4 linked regions of the Saccharomyces cerevisiae S288C genome follow. The protein of the gene in region 3 binds, or shares a complex with, the protein of the main gene of each other region. Each region holds a gene or a part of one and is shown on either strand. Other genes may lie near its edges. The genes, in order: SWP82, SNF6, SWI3 and SWI1. A codon is read from its position in the direction of its gene.

Region 1 (4,414 bases), on a different chromosome or scaffold from region 3:
ACGCTGCAATTTTTTTCAAGAGTCCGTGAAATTTCAGGTGTATATTTCAGAGCTGCTGAGGATCCTGAAGTGGAAGCAGAGTTAGTAAATCCAGTATCTTGGTCGGTATGATTGTATGTTCGTTCACTGTGCCTTTGATGGTTCGCCAAAGACAGATTTCTTTCAGCATTTGAAATCTGGGCATATTCTTCCAACTCATCAAAATCAACACCATTAACTCTTGTATGTAATAGTCGAAACATTGGAAAACAAACGTCTTCTTCTGTTTCTTGAGAATCCCTGGATGCTTGCGATATCTCACTATGGAAAGATACCCTGCTATCCATACGTAACGGTTTAATTCTTCGTGTGTCATTTCCCATATCGGACTTTTGCGATGCAGTTCTTGTCAACAACGTTGTAGGATTGACTGATGAATGTGTCGATATTGTAGAATAGGTTCTTCTCTTAAGTTTCGCCTGTTTGGGATGCGTACCATGCTCTGATTCAGCCGATGTTTCAAAGATTGCGCTAACTAGCGAAGCCTTACGAGCGCTTGTAAAAGTTCTTGCCGAGGAGGAGGCTTCTAAGTTGCATCTGTTACTTGACGTACCGGCAGGTAACGCCGTATCATGGCCTCTCTCTAAAGCCGCATTCTTTGGCAAAGAGGGAGCGATGCTCTCTACATGAATCTGCTTTTGGTGAGTTTCAGACTTTGCTAGCCTGGATGGCCTCGCATTAGAACTTAAAAGCGCGAAAGATCTTAACTGGTAACGTTTCACTGCTTCTGCTTCTGCTTCACCTTCAAAATCCATGCGGCCACTTGTGGATATATTCGTTTTCTCCACATAGCCTCCATTTTCCACTCCACTATTCTCCCCGTTAGAGGAACTAAATTTGTGTCTAGAATCTTTCGTTTCGTCCACTTTCAATGCAAGCGCTTCGTGACGTATTGGTTGTGCATCAGAATACTGCCTATAGTTCTCTAATTTTGGGTACTTGCCTGTCTTCATGGAAGCCGCCGTATTGTCAACGGATTTTGACCTTGGTAAATCTGACGATGAATCAAATGAAGTGGATAAGGACGACATTACGAAGTTTTTTCACGTTTTCTCATAAAAATTCAGTACTTCTATAAAGGTGATTAAAATATATTCCTGTCGATTTTTTTATCCAACTGACAGTACATTTCCATGTAAGTAATTGTTTAGCAATAGTAGTCTCTACCGTCCTTGCTGAACATTGAATAGAGGAAATAAACGCTGTTGATTTTACCTTTCCACTTTTATAATATAAACCTCTACGTTAAAATATCATATGCTCGAGGAAAACCTGATTTCTCTGGAAGCAGCCACTTTCGTGAACAGCCAAACCAAATGCTGCATTTTTCGAAGAAAATTTTTATCTCAAGGAGTCGCTTTTGTAACTTATAGCCGGTCAGGCAGTAAAAACGTACCTGAAAGAATAGTTTGATAGTAGGATATGGACAACGGTTAGTTTTGTCTGTACTTCTTGTATACAGGGCCTCTGTCAAATGAATGTGCGTATAAATTAATGGAGGTCTTGCATAGTTTGTTGAAACTTGGAAGAACTGTCAACCTTCACATATATGATATCCACGGTCTAAGCACGAAGGGCACTTCTTGTTTCTCACATTTAGGCAACTACGATGTGGGAAGTACAGCTCAGTTACGGAATCTAGCACGTAGGAAGAATAAGCGATAAGTGTTCCCTTCAACACATCCATAAAGGAGTTTAGCAGCTGATATATTTGTCGTATCTAAAAAAATTTTCAGAGTATTATGACCTCGTCAAGTACAACGGAAATATATCCTGACATGGAAAGATTAGCCGTTCAGAAAGTGGCCCTGTGCATTAAATATAGTTGTAGTTTCAGCCGTCTATATTTTTTTTTCGAACCATCACTTTTCCCTTTCTGGACTTTTCTCAATGTAAAAACAAGAAAAACATGGAATGTATAATACTATAAATAAAAAAAGTAGGAAGAAGAACCAAAACAAAGGGCGTTTTAAAGAGAGACGAATATGCTTGGCGAAGATGAAGGGAATACCGTTCTTGAAAAGGGAAATAATCCTTCTGTAAAACAAGGAGAGGTTGGAGCTGTATTTATAGTACCCAAAATACTTATCAGAGAACATGAAAGAGTGATACTTAAGCAAATTCTGCAAATCCTGGATCAAGATGAATTGGTTCAACCTCCCTTAGACAAATTTCCCTACAAAAAATTAGAATTACCGAAATATATAGATGAACTTAAGACGAGAGACGCTACTAATACATCCTACAAGATGATACAATTGGATGCTTATGGTGAGAAAAAAGTGGGTTCGAACGGTGAATTATTTGGCGGTAGACATTATTTGTTCAACACCTTCACATTCACGGCTCATATGGGTGTTCTTCTGGTACTTTTACAAGATGTCATTAAAGTGTTATACCAAAGCAACGCAACGCATGACGAGGACGAGTTTATTGTCCAGCATGATCAAATTCTGGTAATGGAAACTTCTGAGGAACAAACAAAATTTTTGGCCAAAAATGGTGTCATTCCTGAAGAATCCAAAGGATCTTTTAAGTATATAACTGCCAGGTCAGCCTTTGTTGAATTCGGTGCTTCTGTTATTGCCGGTGGTCAACGCATCGTTGATGATTATTGGGAATCTTTAGCTAAAAAGCAAAATTTGTCGTCTCACCAAAGGGTTTTCAAATTATCAACAAATTTAATTTCTAAAATCTCACTTTTACGCCCCTCCTTCCAAAATAACAGGATTAGCAATGCCAATGAAATTAGTGCGAACACTAATAATACCTGTACGATTTCTACTTCAAAATTCGAATCACAGTATCCAATAGTCACGGAACAACCGTCAGCGGAGATTAGAGAAGCCTATATTGAAAACTTTGCCAAAGGTGAGCACATTTCGGCAATTGTTCCTGGTCAAAGCATTAGTGGAACATTGGAACTCAGTGCACAATTTAGAGTACCGCGTTATCACAGCAAAAACTCATTTCAACAAGCTCTGCAAATGAAGGCAATGGACATACCAATCGGAAGACATGAAGAATTACTTGCGCAATATGAAAGTCAAGCTCCTGATGGTTCCGCTTCAATTTCACTTCCTAACCATATTCCATCTGTCAATCCTAGCAATAAACCAATCAAACGAATGCTAAGTAGCATTCTTGATATTAACGTTTCCTCATCAAAAAACAAGAAGTCTGAGGAGAACGAAATGATAAAACCCATGAACAAGGGCCAACACAAAAATAATACATCGTTAAACATAAACGGCTGGAAATTTGAATCTTTGCCATTAAAATCCGCCGAGAATTCAGGTAAACAGCAATATTATAGAGGATTGCCGTTATATGAAAAAAACACGCTGCTAGAAAGGTTGAAACAGCTGACACCGAACGAAATTAAAGAACTAGAGCATTTACACGATGCCGTTTTTGTTAATACCGGTTTGCAGAACGTTAGAAAAGTTAGGACAAAAAAATGGAAAAAGTACTGGCAGTACAAGGCAGGTATTCCTATCGGTTTGAAACGGTCTCAATTGGATGAATTCAAAAATAAATATTTGAAAGATGTGTTGGCGCAAACGAGTGTTACTACAAATTTTAACGAAATAACGAATACGGATGAAACAATAACAACAAAGAGGGTACCGAACCCAAACTTCCTAGGAAATTGTAACATTAAGGATTTTAAACCTCCATACATTTATTCTCATGTGAACAAAGTACCACAAAATGTCGCTGGGGATAAAACGGCTGTTAAGCTGGACACTGAAGTAAAGAACACAAATGCTAATCCAGTGGTGGCGACGGATCCGGTCGCCGCTAAACCGGACAACCTGGCTAACTTCAGCAACGAAGTAGCTATGAATAATTGAAAGAAGTAAAACATAATGTAGGGAACACTCCAATAAGAAATAAACCATTGTTGAAGTAGTAATATAAACTATCGTTCGTTATTTTATAAAATATGTATTGTTACATATATATACATATATAGGGAATGCATGTGCACAATTGGTTTGAGTGGAAGGAATAATCCAAAATCATAGCAGTTTGGTCTTTATGATCTCTTGTCTGATTCTGAATGTGTAATATGCCATAACCAACATAATGAAAATTAATGGAAGTAACCAAATCATTAGTTTTCTGGCAATTTCGTCGACCTGAGGACCATCTTGTCCATGACGTTTGGTAGCTTCCCTATACTTTTCTTGTTCAACCAGGACTTTCTCCAATTTCTGATTGATTGATAAGAAGTCTTTGAAATTTTCTTTATCCTCAGCGATTGCATCATCGGTGGACGTTCCCTTTTCATTATTAGCTGGTGGCTTAGAAGAGAGCTGTTTAGTTATCGTAGTCATGAATGATAATAGCTCTTGTTGGACCTTAATGA
Region 2 (3,457 bases), on a different chromosome or scaffold from region 3:
TACTATTTTCCTTGATCACAGCCGCCGAAACGTTAAGCGGGGATATAGAGTTTCATCGTGTTGTTTGCCACCCGTTATGGGCGGCTAATCAAACGGAATTTAGCTTAGTCCATGCCAAAAACGTCTTTAATCTACAGAAATCGTGTTGCATGATCCACAGTAAACGCACAGGAGGTTTTTTTTTTTCGGAGATAGGTCGTACTGCTTTTTCACTGGAGGAGAATGCAAGGGAAATGAGGCGGTGTTTACGACTGGCACATCTCGAGCCTTTCTTCGCGTCAGAGAGATGTGGGCCCCCGGAGCAAGGGGGTAACAACAGACCCTACACATTCAGTCAGCGCGCCACATCAACCAACGAATGAATTGTTTTGCAGGCACTGCTTCCTATAAGCAGTAGCTGCACAAATCCACTATGTCACAAGGAATACACAGAAAACAGTGAAGGGTCTATCTGATCTTACCTCCATACACATCCACATGTATAACTATACTAAATATGTAAAAGGAAAGTATATATTTCCAAGAAGTAGCCGCCCATGGCTATTAAAAAAATACAGCATCAAGATCTCCAAATTCATCGTCGAAATTGGTGTTGAACGGCTCATTGGAATAATCTCCGAACATGTTCTCCAGTGGGTCGTCAACCACGGCGGGTACTGGCTCCTTTTCCGTTGCAGTTGCATGAGGACTTTGCGAGGCAACTGTAGTCACTACTTGTTGCTGTTGCTGCAAATCTTGCTGCTGTTGCTGCTGCAAGCTGGCTTCGTCCTGTGCTTCACCTGCAGTTACTTCCTTCTGCCTGATACGCTCCTTGGCCTCGTGGTATTGCGCCAAAACATCCCTATAAGCATGCGTCCAGTAGTCCGCCGGCGCTTCGCGGAGATCTCCGCGGAGTTTACCCACCAGCGCAGGATCGTCACGATGTACGACCACGCCGTCCGGCTGGTACCTCAAATGACTATCTTGCTCGAAGACAGCATCTATCATATCCTTTGTGCTACGGCTTCCGTCCTCTGCCGCAGCTATAAGTTTTGTGTATTTAAGTGGCGTCAGAGGCTTTTCTTGCAACTCTGCCGCTTGTGTTTTCATTTCGTGTTGTTTTTGCATGAGATATCTTATTGTTTTTTCACTGAACAATCTGGACTTCTCAATTCTGTCGCACGGTACCGTGGTCAAACTCAGCATGTTAAATGCGTCGTTCGAGCTTATAAAGTTCTTCAAAAGGTTGGATCGGAACGATATCGTGTCGCTCTCGTCATGTATGATATTGCTGAGCTGTTCTGGTCTAAGTCGTACACGTTCGAAGTCCTGTCTTTGCTTATTAAGCTGTTGCTGCGCGTACGTAAGCGATCTGCCATTCATGCCGGCACTGGAGCCGCTGTATCCGTACTGATAGTTGTTTTCCTCCGCGAAGCTCGTCAACGACGGGATGTTATTGTTTATGGCGCCCATGCTGCCTACTCCCCCAACCTGTACCCCAGAGTAGTATTGTTGGCGCGAAGCCTTTCCATGGTGCGATCTTTTCTTCTTGATGACACCCATTATTTTACTACGTTTGTAAAATTCTCTTAAACGCTTTTCTTTCGCCTTTTTCGCCTTTAGCCTCCCCTTTCTGGATCAAACCTTGTTTCGTTGCTTCTCAACTTCATGTTTTTTCTCTCCCATCTTTTCCTTTGGATTTTCCGCGTGTGTTTTCTGACCGTTTGACGGAACAACCGTGGTGCATGACCGAACGTAGACCAACACATTGTGAGAACCTGTATGGTCCAGCCGCTGCCAACTAACCTGATAAATGAAGCACGTCGGCTACAAACGACGCATGTGCCTCTTTATGCCCTGCTTGTTCCAGTATTCGCATTCGTTTACTTACTTTTCTTGTTTGGATCTTGCCATTTTCGGTAATGTAATTGATTTTCACGGATAAGTTTACTTTTTTCTTTGCGGTTTTTCCCGCTTTCCTGATTCAATACTCTTCCTACACAAAAGTGGAAAAAAACAGGAAAAAAAAATAGTGCAGTCCACACTAGCATCACCTCCATCGCATTCCTTCATTGATATTTGCTGTATACGATTTGCATCGGCTTTTGAAAGATATAGTTTATCTGTCCTTGATCTAAAACCAATTTCTCCTCTTTCTTTCTTCAAGATGTTATAACCTTCCACCGGCACACATATATACGGATATATATGCATCAACACCCTTGAAAATAGACGCTCTTCACATATATGAAATCCTCAGAGCCAGCGCCAGCGACCCCGACCGGGTTCAGAAATTCCATCTGGTTCATCATCTTCTACCTTTTCGTCATCCAAGCGCTAGGTTCTGCAATAATCTCGGGCGGCATCGAGTTTGCCATCGCATATGCCATGTACCATTCCCGTGTAGATCTTATCACCTTATGGGCATTTCCTCACACCATTTCAGGCGATTGTGCACTAAGTTTATTCATCCAGGTGGGTCTTACATGGGCTAGCGAGGAAATTTTAGTTGGATTCGATGACTACAAGAGGCCTGTTTTCAGATTGAATAAATGGATTACGAAACCGTCACCACTGAAAACCGAATCTAACGAAGAAATACCACCCCCTAAAAAGCGTTTCATTGTGGATTACTTCGAATCCAAAGACAACGTCGTTGCGAAGCAGAACACTCTGTATCATAAGCATAATTGGCTCTTTGGCTATTTAGAGGTCAATAGAGGAATCATTCCCAAAGGTAAAGAAGCTACGTTGAAAGGTTTTCTCACATCTCAGTTCATTCATGATTCTACTCAGTCCAAATTCATGAACTTTATAGAATGGTTTGTGCAGAAATTCATCAGATCTATGATCCTAGCCATTGCCATGTTCATTGTCATTTGGCCAGTCACTATGGGTATCCTTGCTGGTATAGGCCATAAGGTCGGGTCCCACGACTACTACTTCAACGATTATCCACTACCGCAGGTCATGAAGTTGATTTATGCCGTTGTAATTGCCTTTGTATGCACTCCAGTGGCCATCATCGTCATTGTGTTGAGAAACCAGTTTCACGAGGAACTTTACTATGAAGGCTTAGCAAACGGTACGCTACAGCAGGATCAAGAAGTTTGCTCCACGGGTAATCGCAGCTCGGGATCAACCGATCAAGATATCAGTACTACCAAACAACAGTCTCAAGAAGCGGTAGCGTGAAGAAAAGCAACAAAAAAATAAAAGCATGTGCGAACTCTAGTTTAATACTTAATAAACTATTAATACTTTACAATTAGCAATCTATAATATACCCACCTTAACAAATAATTTTTCCTTTAACCATTGTTACCTTGTTTAATCCGCGACGCCGCGCTAGGGCATGTGTGATTTATTCATTTACTATACAGCCGCAAAGAAACAACTAAGAATAAAATATCCGACAATCCATATCATACCAAAATTTTGGGATACTTGGTCAAGATGCGAACTGAGTTAGTTCCCA
Region 3 (4,603 bases):
TCCATCTCACATTGAATTGGTTGTTACCGAAAAGGAAGAAGCTGTCGCCAAGGCTGCTGAAAAGAAGGTTGTCAGATTGACTTCTAGACAAAGAGGTAGAATTGCTGCCCAAAAACGTATCTCTGCTTAAATGCTTTTTTAATTTTAAAATCTTTTAAAGTGAATATTTGATTTATATACTACTATATACTAATTTGTTTAGGCCAATACACAGAATCAAAATCAAACTAAGAACAACACAGAACAAGAAAAATAACTTTTGATAAAGGCTCTTTTAAATAAAAAAAATAGAAAAAATAGAAAATAACACAATTATAGATATATATCTACATGTACATAACATGTCTAGTCGAATCTAGAGAAATGGGATAAAAATCAGAGAGAAGCCAAGTCAAGTGACGCACCATTAAAGAAATGAACCTAGAAGAAAGAAAATAAGCAAAAATATAGAGCGAAACAAAATAGAAAGTGTTACTAATGAAGAATAATTACAACAAAAACAAAAATGATCTCCATGTGTCATTGTTATGCCGACCAATACCTGTAAAATTGAGGTGCTTCAATAGAAATGGGTTTGACATCATTCTCGTTAGATATACTTTGGCCATTATGGTTTTCACCTGTTTCAATATTAGGTTTGTTAAATGGATTCTTTCCAATACTTAAAGTTTCAGGTTTCGATAGCATACTTTTGAAATGGTCTATCTGCGACCTGATTTCCTCCTTCTCCGCCACTGAACTATTATTGATATTGCTGTCGGATATTAAATTCAAGCATTTGCTTAAAACGTTTACAATCTTGCTGGAGTTTTGGTTGAAGTTCAATCTCTGAATTAGTAAGTTTTCCTGTTGTCTTTCTAGGGTTTTCCTTTCTAGCTCCATAAATTTTTCTAGTTTCTTTAAATGATTTAATTTAGCGTCCAATTTTTCCATTTGAAGTCTTATTAGCTCGTTAGTCAAAAAATTCATTTGCCTTTCCTCGTTGGTAGCGAAAATATGACTCCTATAACCCAATGATGATATGGCAATTTCTGAACCTTCTTTAATATGTTCAATTGGCTTTTGGTCAGAGATTTCCTCTTTTTGTGATTTTATTGATTCTGCGGACTGAATGGCTCTCTGGGTCATCGACTGTACAGTCTTCGGATTGACCAAACCCACCAAGAATGCTATTGTTGATAAAACGGGGTTTTCGCTCTTCGAAAATGGCAAGTGAGGAGCATATTTCAAAGGTCCTAACCCGTTGTCATTATCACCCTTGCCATTGCCGTCACCGTATAAAAATTTATCTTCAATGGGCAATTGAAGGAAACGTAAGATACACTGTTCAGGCGACTTATTGCCAACGTTTTTGGCCACTTTGTACCAGTCAGCGCCGAATTCTTGTATTCCCTTTAATAGCTTTTGCAAATCTTCTTTTGACCAATTTTCATCAATTTGTTCTAGAATTTTGACTTTTTTCAGAGGACGTGAAGTTTCGCCTTCTTCCAATAGATTGGCATCACCAGTCATGCTTGTTGACGTACTTACTTCATTGTTCATTTTACCACCATTATCATTTTTGTCACCATTTTCATCATCAGTGGTACTGGGGGGGTGAGTTATTTCATCATATTTTCTTTTGCTTTCTTTCAAATATTTATATAAAGTACTCTCCGAATCACTAGTGTTCATCATTTTTTTAAGCTTTGCCATATCCGGCAGTTGTACAGATGGTTTGTAACTTTCGAATGGGAATAGTCCTCTGGGGGCATCATGCCTTGTGGAATATTGAGACGTTAGTGGGGGTTCGATGTTCTTAGGTAATAGTTTGGAGTCAACCTGATAGTTTATTAGCCCCCATTTTGTTAAGAATTTATGCAATCTGAATAATGCAGCAGCATCACCAGAGACGTTTCTCCTCGCCGTAGTGACACTGAAATATTCGTTGGGGTTCAGCCTGTAAGAATTTACCATGAAGTTTCTGTATCTCATGTAAACTTCAGGTGTCTTTGATGGAATCCTATTGGTGAAAAATTCAGGTAACGATTGAACTTCAATGGAATGAATTTTTTCTAGATTGAACCATTTAGAATAACTTGGAATAACAATTTCATGTGCTTGCGGTATCTCAAAAGTTTCGGGTTCTACTCTGGTGATAGTGGTTTTCTTTGGATTGGCACTTTTGGAGTGATCGTTCATGATTTCACGTTCCTGTTCGTTTCTCTCTTCGCCACTATCTACCTTCTTATCTACACTTTCCGTCTTTTCTATGATATCCTCCTGTTCAGCTTTATGCGCATCTGGAATTTCAGATGGAGTATTAGCAACCGACGAAGTGTTGCCTAGTTGTTTAGACTCACTCTTTGTGTCTCCAAAAATGGAATTATCAGGACTAATCATCGGTTGATCGTCATCCTCATCATCTTCTTCCACTTCATCCATTTCCTTTGTGTTCTCATCTGGCTGACTTTCTTCTTTGACACCTTCAATAACAGTGTTATTCTCTGGTTCTTCCTCTTTTTGTATTTTGACGTCCTCCATGTTTTTAACGTCACCATTTGAATCCTGTATTGTGCTGTCTTCCTTAATAGCAGGCTTATTGTTTTCATTGTCTACCGGGTTCGTAGGTATACTAGGAGTGTTTGCCTCATTGTTCGAAACAGAACTCTCGGTTTCGCCAAAGAGATTATCACTATCCTCATTATCTTGGCCAAAGACGTTCTGGGCCCTGCTTTCTTCTGTAGAAGGTGTTTCCTGGGAATCTAGCTTATTCGCTTGCATAGTCGGCTGCTGCTTTGCCGTTACCGTTATCGCCTCACTTTCTGCATCGCGTGTGTTCGGAACAGTTGCTTCATCCTTCAGAGACTCATCTTGTTGCTGCGATTCTTCACCAGCAGTATCTGTATTGGCAACCCCTGCCACAGCTGCATTAGCGTTGCTATCACTATTGTTGTCATTGCCATGTTGGTCCACGTCCACGGAAGCGTTTACCGTGGACCCCTCACCCAGTGTATTCTCCATGCTTGCAAACCGTATCACAATTGGTCTCTGAACGCGCCTCGATGTACCAATATATCGCGCCTTGCATGGCCTTTACACATTCCTCTTGCGTATCTGATATAGTTTGTTTTCGTCTTTTCGCCAATGGCCTAAACGCCAAACGTCCGGCCTCGTTATTCGTGATGCCTACTTAATGGCTCTTAAATCGAATTTAAACTAGCTCAAAAGTAATCAATTCAAACTAAAATAACATCATTGGCCATCCTGAATTGTTGGATGCCATCTAAACTGCGTATTGACCATTATTCCATCGTAACCACGGCGGTTCAATATAATATCACTTTTGACGATTAGGTGTTTTATTTACATTTCTTTTTTTTTTTCCTCGAAAAAGATCTTCAAGGATAATACAGGAATAGAACAGGAGTCTCAAAGCATTCTTGAAGCCAGATTTGCTCCAGTTTGATAGTTCCAAGAAGCGCTAAAAGTGGCAGTTCACACTTTGTTTTGATTACTAGGAATCTACTCTTTCGCTTTTTACTTCCTTCTCAGAGAATCAGCAACTGTGACATATTATAGATAATGCGTTTACAAAGAAATTCCATCATATGTGCTTTGGTGTTTTTAGTCTCATTTGTGCTGGGAGATGTGAATATTGTTTCCCCCAGCTCCAAGGCAACATTCAGTCCAAGTGGTGGTACTGTCTCTGTTCCCGTTGAATGGATGGATAATGGGGCATATCCCTCGTTAAGCAAGATTTCAACTTTCACGTTCAGTCTTTGTACTGGTCCTAATAACAACATTGACTGTGTGGCCGTACTTGCCAGTAAAATTACTCCAAGTGAGCTAACACAAGATGATAAAGTTTACTCTTACACAGCTGAGTTTGCTTCGACCTTAACTGGGAACGGTCAATATTACATTCAAGTTTTTGCCCAGGTGGACGGTCAAGGTTACACTATCCATTATACACCAAGATTCCAGTTGACTTCCATGGGCGGTGTTACGGCTTATACATATAGTGCCACAACTGAACCTACTCCCCAGACTTCTATTCAAACAACCACTACAAACAACGCCCAAGCCACTACTATTGACAGTCGTTCATTTACTGTTCCGTACACCAAGCAGACTGGTACGTCGCGTTTCGCTCCAATGCAAATGCAGCCAAATACTAAAGTGACCGCTACCACATGGACAAGGAAATTTGCCACTAGTGCTGTGACATATTACTCTACCTTTGGGTCATTGCCAGAGCAAGCAACTACGATAACTCCTGGCTGGTCTTATACGATATCATCGGGAGTAAACTACGCTACTCCTGCATCTATGCCTTCAGATAATGGTGGTTGGTACAAACCATCCAAGAGATTGTCTTTGTCTGCAAGGAAAATCAACATGAGAAAAGTATGAAAAATAGACGGCTTCTACTATCATCATTACAGTAAGGGTTGAAGTCAGGAAAGGTTAAAAATAAAATAAATATCAAAAAGTTTTTAGCGGAAGGCGTTAAGGCAGCAAGTACACATTCATTTATCTATCTATACATCTATAAACACAACTACAATTTTTTTAGAAATGGAATTTATTATATGAAGGGAAGACATATAGAGGCAACAGT
Region 4 (6,366 bases), on a different chromosome or scaffold from region 3:
GACAGTACAGCACATTTGGTGGGAAGCCACAATTCGAGGTTCCGTCGGAGCCTGTACAGCCTATTGATTGAATGGCCCTTATAGCTTGTTCTTCCGCTTTCAGCGCCAGCATGGGGCCCAATGTAACGTCTCCTATGGGTTTAATATGAGGGTACTTTAGCAGACTTTGGGTTTGTACGTCAACATTTTCTACAAAATCCCGTTCGTCTAGACCAATGCTGGAAATATCTAAACCTTTTAGCAGGGGACGTCTACCAATAGAAACCATCAAGACGTCGCAATGATGTACATATGTTTTCTTTGACACCTTGTTAAGCAAGGTGATGTTCAGCTGACCGGCAGCATCGGCTTCCGCGAGCTGCACTCTAGTGTCTAAAAGAAAAGCTATACCCTGACACTGCAAGAGGGTCTTCGTGGCAGAAGCCAACTCATTGTCCATATTTTGACAGATCTCGCTTTGAGATTCAACGATAGTAACCCGAGAGCCCAAATTATTGAATATGCATGCGATTTCTAGTCCAATTGTACCTCCTCCCATGATAGTAAAACGTGAAGGTATATAATCCAGTGACAATGCCTTATCAGATGAAATTATCTTGTCATTATCTATTGCAACACCAGGACACTGAATAACCGCAGATCCGGTCGCCACAACAATATATTTCGCCTCTACGATGAACGGTTTCATGCCGCGCTGCGCAATCTCAACGTGGTGAGGATCTTTGAAAGCAGCCGTGCCTTTATACACAGTAACATTATTTTTAGATAGCTCACGTTTATACACATTGCCCAACTCTTCTATATTATGTTTGAGTGCACTCTGGGCCGCCTGCATATCGAATTTTGCAGGAAACAGCCGCGTGCCACGTTGCTCGATAAGTTCTTGCTGTTGTAGCAGCCGATAAAGATAAGACTCATATAACAAGGTCTTGGACGGGACTGCCCCGTCTACAAGGTAGGCGCCCCCCAGCGAGGCACGCTGGTCAACACATGCTGTGAGCAGGCCTGCTTGCGAAGCCTGCATCGCTGCAGTAAAGCCACCAGGCCCGCAACCAATTACCAGGACATCGTAAACTGCCGCAAAATCCTCCATCGTGCTTAATATTTCGTCTTCACCTCCCATTACCAAAAATGCTCACCGTTAATTATATCATACTTCTCTTCTCCTCTCGTAAAATCGTGCGCATGTTAAATAGCCGCCGAAACAGCAGATGCATGCCTGCAGGTCTGGGTGTACCCCCTGCCTGAGTGTTCCACCCAGGCCTCGCCGGAGGAAAATGCCACCGCACTCAAGTTCGCACAGAAACTACCGCATAAATTTATTCTAACCCGGAACTGACGTTTATCGTGATATGAACTTTGGGTATCTCCGATTACGAAACGACGCCACCCCTCCTTCCCCAAAGCACCGAGAAAAGATTTTTTTTAAAACTGAACGCTGATTGACTTTACGTATTATTACCACTATGCATTATTGTTGTTTCTGTTGTGGTTGTTGCCAGTTGTAATCATATTCACATTGCGTTTTAGTCATAACCACCTTCCGGTATTCATCATTCGTATTGAATAACAATATTTATACCGCAAAACACTATACGGCAAGGCAACTGATTACACTTTGTTTACCTTATTTTTTTATTATTTATTTTTCTAGAAAGTATTGTTGTGTGGCTCTATCCTTATTACACCATCTCTGCTTTGGCATTTCGCGTTGTTTCCTCTCACGGATTGCAGATTATTGTTCACCAGGTAATAATCACTGACTGGCGGCTATTTTCCTATTACACTCATTATTCTTAAAATTTTCTTTTTCTATCTCTATTTTCTTTCTTTTCGTGTCTTATAATAATAATAATAATAATAATAATAAAAATAGTAATAATAAAAATAGTAATAAATAAAGATGGATTTCTTTAATTTGAATAATAATAATAATAATAATAATACTACTACTACTACTACTACTACCAATAACAATAATACTAATAATAATAATACTAATAATAATAATAATCCTGCTAATAATACCAATAACAACAATAGCACAGGCCATAGTAGTAATACTAATAACAATACTAATAACAACAATACGAATACCGGAGCCAGTGGTGTAGACGATTTTCAGAATTTTTTCGACCCAAAACCTTTTGACCAGAATTTGGATTCCAACAATAACAACAGTAATAGTAATAACAATGATAACAATAACAGTAACACGGTAGCCTCCAGCACGAACTTTACTTCTCCAACAGCAGTCGTTAATAATGCCGCTCCTGCTAATGTTACCGGTGGAAAAGCTGCTAATTTCATTCAGAACCAGTCTCCCCAATTCAATTCTCCATATGACTCAAACAATTCCAACACAAATTTAAACAGCCTGTCTCCTCAGGCTATTTTAGCCAAGAATTCAATCATTGATTCTTCCAATTTACCTCTTCAAGCTCAACAACAGCTATATGGCGGTAACAATAATAATAATAGCACCGGAATTGCGAACGATAATGTAATAACACCCCATTTTATCACCAATGTTCAATCCATCAGTCAAAATTCCTCATCTTCTACTCCGAACACAAACTCTAACTCTACTCCGAATGCAAATCAACAATTTTTGCCATTCAATAACAGTGCTTCCAATAATGGTAATTTGACGTCTAACCAGCTTATTTCTAATTACGCTGCTTCAAATTCAATGGACAGATCATCCTCTGCAAGCAATGAATTTGTTCCGAACACAAGTGACAACAACAACAACAGTAATAACCATAATATGCGTAATAACAGCAATAATAAAACGAGCAATAACAATAATGTCACTGCCGTGCCTGCTGCAACTCCCGCTAATACCAATAATTCAACTTCAAACGCAAATACAGTGTTCTCTGAAAGAGCTGCAATGTTTGCCGCTTTGCAGCAAAAGCAGCAGCAACGTTTTCAGGCTCTACAGCAGCAGCAGCAGCAGCAACAAAATCAACAACAGCAAAATCAACAACCACAACAGCAACAACAGCAACAACAGAATCCCAAATTTTTGCAGAGTCAACGGCAGCAACAACAAAGATCTATTTTACAAAGTCTGAACCCGGCATTACAAGAGAAAATATCTACTGAATTGAATAACAAACAATATGAACTTTTTATGAAATCTTTGATTGAAAACTGTAAAAAAAGAAATATGCCGTTACAATCAATACCAGAAATCGGCAACAGAAAAATAAATCTTTTTTATCTTTATATGTTGGTTCAAAAATTCGGTGGTGCAGATCAAGTAACAAGGACCCAACAGTGGTCTATGGTGGCCCAAAGGCTGCAAATTTCCGATTACCAACAATTAGAATCAATCTATTTTAGAATTTTATTACCTTACGAAAGACACATGATTTCCCAAGAAGGTATAAAGGAAACTCAAGCGAAAAGAATATTCTTGCAACAGTTCTTACAAGAACTATTGAAGAAAGTTCAACAACAGCAGCAGGCCGCTGCATTGGCCAATGCCAACAATAACATTAATAGTGCATCGTCAGCACCAACCCCCGCGGCTCCTGGCGCGTCCGTTCCTGCTACAGCAGCACCAGGAACAGAAGCAGGGATCGTTCCGGTTTCAGCAAACACTCCAAAAAGCTTGAATAGCAATATTAATATCAACGTAAATAATAACAATATTGGCCAACAGCAAGTTAAGAAGCCAAGAAAGCAAAGAGTGAAAAAAAAGACCAAAAAGGAATTGGAACTAGAACGTAAAGAAAGGGAGGATTTTCAGAAACGACAACAAAAACTTTTAGAGGATCAACAAAGGCAACAGAAATTGCTATTAGAGACAAAATTACGTCAACAATATGAAATCGAACTAAAAAAATTGCCTAAAGTCTACAAGAGATCAATTGTTAGGAACTACAAACCCCTAATCAACCGCCTCAAGCATTACAATGGTTACGATATCAATTACATCTCTAAAATAGGAGAGAAAATAGATTCCAACAAGCCAATTTTTCTCTTCGCGCCAGAGTTAGGTGCAATTAATTTACATGCTTTATCAATGTCCCTCCAATCGAAGAATCTTGGAGAAATAAACACCGCCTTGAACACCTTGTTGGTCACAAGCGCTGACTCGAACTTAAAAATATCTCTGGTCAAATACCCTGAATTATTAGACTCCTTGGCAATACTCGGCATGAATTTACTGTCAAATTTGTCACAAAATGTTGTTCCATACCATCGAAACACTTCTGACTATTATTATGAGGATGCTGGATCAAATCAATACTATGTTACCCAACACGATAAAATGGTTGATAAAATTTTTGAAAAGGTAAACAACAACGCTACACTTACACCGAATGATTCTAACGATGAAAAAGTCACTATCCTGGTAGATTCTTTAACAGGTAATCAATTGCCCACCCCTACTCCTACTGAAATGGAGCCTGATCTCGACACTGAATGTTTTATAAGTATGCAGTCGACATCTCCCGCAGTTAAACAGTGGGACTTATTGCCTGAACCAATAAGATTCCTCCCTAACCAATTTCCTTTGAAAATTCACAGAACTCCTTATTTGACTTCTTTGAAAAAAATCAAGGATGAAATTGATGATCCATTTACAAAAATAAATACCAGAGGGGCAGAGGATCCCAAAGTTCTGATTAACGATCAACTGTCTACCATCTCGATGATTTTGAGGAATATTTCATTCTCCGATAACAACTCCAGAATCATGTCGAGAAATTTTTACCTAAAGAGATTTATATCTGATCTACTTTGGTTAGTCTTAATCCATCCAGAAAACTTTACATGCAATAGGAAAATACTAAATTTCAAGAAGGATTTGGTTATTGTTTTATCAAATATTTCTCATTTATTAGAGATCGCTTCGTCCATTGATTGCTTGTTAATTCTTATTCTAGTCATAAGTTTTGGTCAACCAAAACTCAATCCAATGGCGTCTTCGTCATCATTTGGCTCTGAATCTTTGACCTTCAACGAATTCCAGTTGCAATGGGGAAAATATCAAACTTTCGGTGTAGATATTTTGGCCAAATTATTTTCATTGGAAAAACCGAACCTAAATTATTTCAAATCAATCCTTCTGAACAAAAACACAGGTAACAACCTCTATGATCGCAACAGTAACAACAACCACAAGGACAAAAAGTTGTTACGAAGACTTTTGAATTTATACAATGATAACAATAAAAATAATAACAATAGGCACAACTTGCTAAATGATGTGGTTTCGTTTTTATTTTCTGCCATACCGCTGCAGCAAGTGTTATCGCAATCAGCTGATCCAAGTTTGCTGATCGACCAATTTTCTCCGGTAATTTCTCAGAGTCTAACTAGCATCTTAGTCATTGTACAAAAAATATTGCCGTTATCCAATGAAGTATTTGAAATCAGTGAGAATAATTCAGACAGTAACAGTAACAATAACGGCAACAAAGATTCTAGCTTCAATTTCAACAAGAATTTACCATTTGTGTGGTTGAGCTCTGAAGAAAATATTGGATCTGGACTATTGAAGTTAAGTGAGATAATATTGAATATTAACAATTCCACAAGTAAGAATACTTTGTTACAGCAACAAAATTATTCAAAGGTGCTCCTACCGTCAATTAACATATCCTGTGTTCAGTTAATCAAATGTTTGGTTGAAAAAAGTATTTGTTTTGAAAACTGCCTAAACAACGACCCGGAAATATTAAAAAAAATAGCATCGATTCCAAATTTGTTCCCCACGGATTTAGAAATTTTCCAGTTATTCACTAATCCATCAGTTGATATTCAAATAATAAACCAGTATCAATTACTTTACAATTTAAAAAATGATATCCTAACCAATTTGGAATGATGCGATTTTTTTAAACAATATTCTTTTACTGCTTATTTCTTCCTTGCGCACTATTTTCTTTTTATAAACCTATATAAAATGTTGTAACTAATATAATAGACCTTATGGAAACAATACAGTCGGAAGAGCGCCTTTAGTGCCAAAAGCCCAAATGAACGTATAGCTGCCATGAAGTCACATCTTGGGCGGCTCAACTAAACAATGGTTTTAGTAACTTCCCACTGGTCCCGTCGCGGCTACAAAAATTCCTTGAAATTGTATAAAGGAGTTTATGACTCCATTTCAGGCAGTAAATACAATTCATACACACCACACATACATTCAGAGTTAACGTTCGCTATAATAAAACGGTAGAGAGTCAGATGTGGAGTCAGCGTGGGGGGTGGGGTAACACTCCACCTTTGAAAACGGTGTGACTTCGCCCTTTCGATGGGAGGAGGTAAAGCTCAAATAGGACAGAATCATCCAAGAAAATTTCAAGCTGCCCACAAAGTCAAGATCGCTTCAGAAGCTGTTCG

What was found.
Region 1: the proteins of SWI3 (region 3) and SWP82 are in contact, whole or in part, in a cryo-EM structure (PDB 7EGM), measured with the Saccharomyces cerevisiae proteins. Residues at the interface, in NP_012359.1 of Saccharomyces cerevisiae: Ile299 (codon at 2,109), Pro300 (codon at 2,106), Gln301 (codon at 2,103), His303 (codon at 2,097), Arg345 (codon at 1,971), Asn348 (codon at 1,962), Phe349 (codon at 1,959), Asn352 (codon at 1,950), Ser353 (codon at 1,947), Leu356 (codon at 1,938), Asn357 (codon at 1,935), Asn359 (codon at 1,929), Glu360 (codon at 1,926), Tyr361 (codon at 1,923), Phe362 (codon at 1,920), Ser363 (codon at 1,917), Thr365 (codon at 1,911), Thr366 (codon at 1,908), Arg369 (codon at 1,899), Asn370 (codon at 1,896), Leu399 (codon at 1,809), Pro401 (codon at 1,803), Lys402 (codon at 1,800), Ile404 (codon at 1,794), Glu405 (codon at 1,791), Pro406 (codon at 1,788), Pro407 (codon at 1,785), Arg415 (codon at 1,761), His416 (codon at 1,758), Asp417 (codon at 1,755); in NP_116605.1 of Saccharomyces cerevisiae: Leu240 (codon at 2,742), Arg241 (codon at 2,745), Pro242 (codon at 2,748), Ser243 (codon at 2,751), Phe318 (codon at 2,976), Val320 (codon at 2,982), Tyr442 (codon at 3,348), Gly445 (codon at 3,357), Leu446 (codon at 3,360), Pro447 (codon at 3,363), Leu448 (codon at 3,366), Tyr449 (codon at 3,369), Glu450 (codon at 3,372), Thr453 (codon at 3,381), Glu456 (codon at 3,390), Arg457 (codon at 3,393), Glu468 (codon at 3,426), His471 (codon at 3,435), Leu472 (codon at 3,438), His473 (codon at 3,441), Asp474 (codon at 3,444), Ala475 (codon at 3,447), Val476 (codon at 3,450), Val478 (codon at 3,456), Asn479 (codon at 3,459), Thr480 (codon at 3,462), Leu482 (codon at 3,468), Gln483 (codon at 3,471), Arg486 (codon at 3,480), Lys487 (codon at 3,483).
Region 2: the proteins of SWI3 (region 3) and SNF6 are in contact, whole or in part, in a cryo-EM structure (PDB 7C4J), measured with the Saccharomyces cerevisiae proteins. Residues at the interface, in NP_012359.1 of Saccharomyces cerevisiae: Ala544 (codon at 1,374), Phe613 (codon at 1,167), Leu617 (codon at 1,155), Val618 (codon at 1,152), Asn619 (codon at 1,149), Leu664 (codon at 1,014), Arg667 (codon at 1,005), Ser668 (codon at 1,002), Ile670 (codon at 996), Phe671 (codon at 993), Asn674 (codon at 984), Arg677 (codon at 975), Asn680 (codon at 966), Phe681 (codon at 963), Asn684 (codon at 954), Glu685 (codon at 951), Arg688 (codon at 942), Met691 (codon at 933), Glu692 (codon at 930), Asp695 (codon at 921), Arg712 (codon at 870), Leu715 (codon at 861), Glu716 (codon at 858), Gln719 (codon at 849), Glu720 (codon at 846), Leu722 (codon at 840), Leu723 (codon at 837), Arg726 (codon at 828), Leu727 (codon at 825), Asn730 (codon at 816); in NP_011838.1 of Saccharomyces cerevisiae: Met120 (codon at 1,185), Leu121 (codon at 1,182), Ser122 (codon at 1,179), Thr124 (codon at 1,173), Thr125 (codon at 1,170), Val126 (codon at 1,167), Pro127 (codon at 1,164), Cys128 (codon at 1,161), Asp129 (codon at 1,158), Ile131 (codon at 1,152), Lys133 (codon at 1,146), Ser134 (codon at 1,143), Arg135 (codon at 1,140), Leu136 (codon at 1,137), Phe137 (codon at 1,134), Ser138 (codon at 1,131), Lys140 (codon at 1,125), Thr141 (codon at 1,122), Tyr144 (codon at 1,113), Lys148 (codon at 1,101), Thr165 (codon at 1,050), Pro166 (codon at 1,047), Leu167 (codon at 1,044), Lys168 (codon at 1,041), Tyr169 (codon at 1,038), Thr170 (codon at 1,035), Leu172 (codon at 1,029), Ile173 (codon at 1,026), Ala176 (codon at 1,017), Glu177 (codon at 1,014).
Region 4: the proteins of SWI3 (region 3) and SWI1 are in contact, whole or in part, in a cryo-EM structure (PDB 7C4J), measured with the Saccharomyces cerevisiae proteins. Residues at the interface, in NP_012359.1 of Saccharomyces cerevisiae: Tyr310 (codon at 2,076), Ile322 (codon at 2,040), Gln325 (codon at 2,031), Ser326 (codon at 2,028), Leu327 (codon at 2,025), Pro328 (codon at 2,022), Arg380 (codon at 1,866), Lys383 (codon at 1,857), Phe384 (codon at 1,854), Lys387 (codon at 1,845), Trp388 (codon at 1,842), Pro419 (codon at 1,749), Arg420 (codon at 1,746), Gly421 (codon at 1,743), Leu422 (codon at 1,740), Phe425 (codon at 1,731), Leu598 (codon at 1,212), Pro599 (codon at 1,209), Phe600 (codon at 1,206), Ser601 (codon at 1,203), Glu604 (codon at 1,194), Asn605 (codon at 1,191), Lys702 (codon at 900), Glu705 (codon at 891), Lys706 (codon at 888), Glu709 (codon at 879), Leu710 (codon at 876), Lys713 (codon at 867), Glu716 (codon at 858), Arg717 (codon at 855); in NP_015309.1 of Saccharomyces cerevisiae: Arg670 (codon at 3,911), Leu671 (codon at 3,914), Lys672 (codon at 3,917), His673 (codon at 3,920), Tyr674 (codon at 3,923), Asn675 (codon at 3,926), Gly676 (codon at 3,929), Tyr677 (codon at 3,932), Pro694 (codon at 3,983), Phe696 (codon at 3,989), Leu697 (codon at 3,992), Glu701 (codon at 4,004), Leu702 (codon at 4,007), Gly703 (codon at 4,010), Gly720 (codon at 4,061), Glu721 (codon at 4,064), Thr724 (codon at 4,073), His792 (codon at 4,277), Asp793 (codon at 4,280), Met795 (codon at 4,286), Val796 (codon at 4,289), Asp797 (codon at 4,292), Ile799 (codon at 4,298), Phe800 (codon at 4,301), Val803 (codon at 4,310), Asn804 (codon at 4,313), Glu1197 (codon at 5,492), Lys1267 (codon at 5,702), Ala1270 (codon at 5,711), Ser1271 (codon at 5,714).

The regions. Positions count from the first base shown.
Region 1 is NC_001138.5:34,779-39,192, forward strand, and holds SWP82 (Swp82p), read left to right. Parts: upstream 1-2,024; coding exon 2,025-3,896; downstream 3,897-4,414. Other genes in the region: putative Mg(2+) transporter ALR2, read right to left, coding at 1-1,070; EMP47 (Emp47p), read right to left, coding at 4,065-4,414. UniProt on the Saccharomyces cerevisiae protein: Involved in transcriptional activation. Component of the SWI/SNF complex, an ATP-dependent chromatin remodeling complex, which is required for the positive and negative regulation of gene expression of a large number of genes.
Region 2 is NC_001140.6:52,936-56,392, reverse strand, and holds SNF6 (Snf6p), read right to left. Parts: upstream 1,543-3,457; coding exon 544-1,542; downstream 1-543. Other genes in the region: YHL026C (uncharacterized protein), read left to right, coding at 2,227-3,174; alkaline-responsive transcriptional regulator RIM101, read right to left, coding at 3,405-3,457. UniProt on the Saccharomyces cerevisiae protein: Involved in transcriptional activation. Component of the SWI/SNF complex, an ATP-dependent chromatin remodeling complex, which is required for the positive and negative regulation of gene expression of a large number of genes.
Region 3 is NC_001142.9:91,528-96,130, forward strand, and holds SWI3 (Swi3p), read right to left. Parts: upstream 3,004-4,603; coding exon 526-3,003; downstream 1-525. Other genes in the region: 60S ribosomal protein uL22 RPL17B, read left to right, coding at 1-130; KRE9 (Kre9p), read left to right, coding at 3,565-4,395. UniProt on the Saccharomyces cerevisiae protein: Involved in transcriptional activation. Component of the SWI/SNF complex, an ATP-dependent chromatin-remodeling complex, which is required for the positive and negative regulation of gene expression of a large number of genes.
Region 4 is NC_001148.4:519,111-525,476, forward strand, and holds SWI1 (Swi1p), read left to right. Parts: upstream 1-1,903; coding exon 1,904-5,848; downstream 5,849-6,366. Other genes in the region: IRC15 (Irc15p), read right to left, coding at 1-1,123. UniProt on the Saccharomyces cerevisiae protein: Involved in transcriptional activation. Component of the SWI/SNF complex, an ATP-dependent chromatin remodeling complex, which is required for the positive and negative regulation of gene expression of a large number of genes.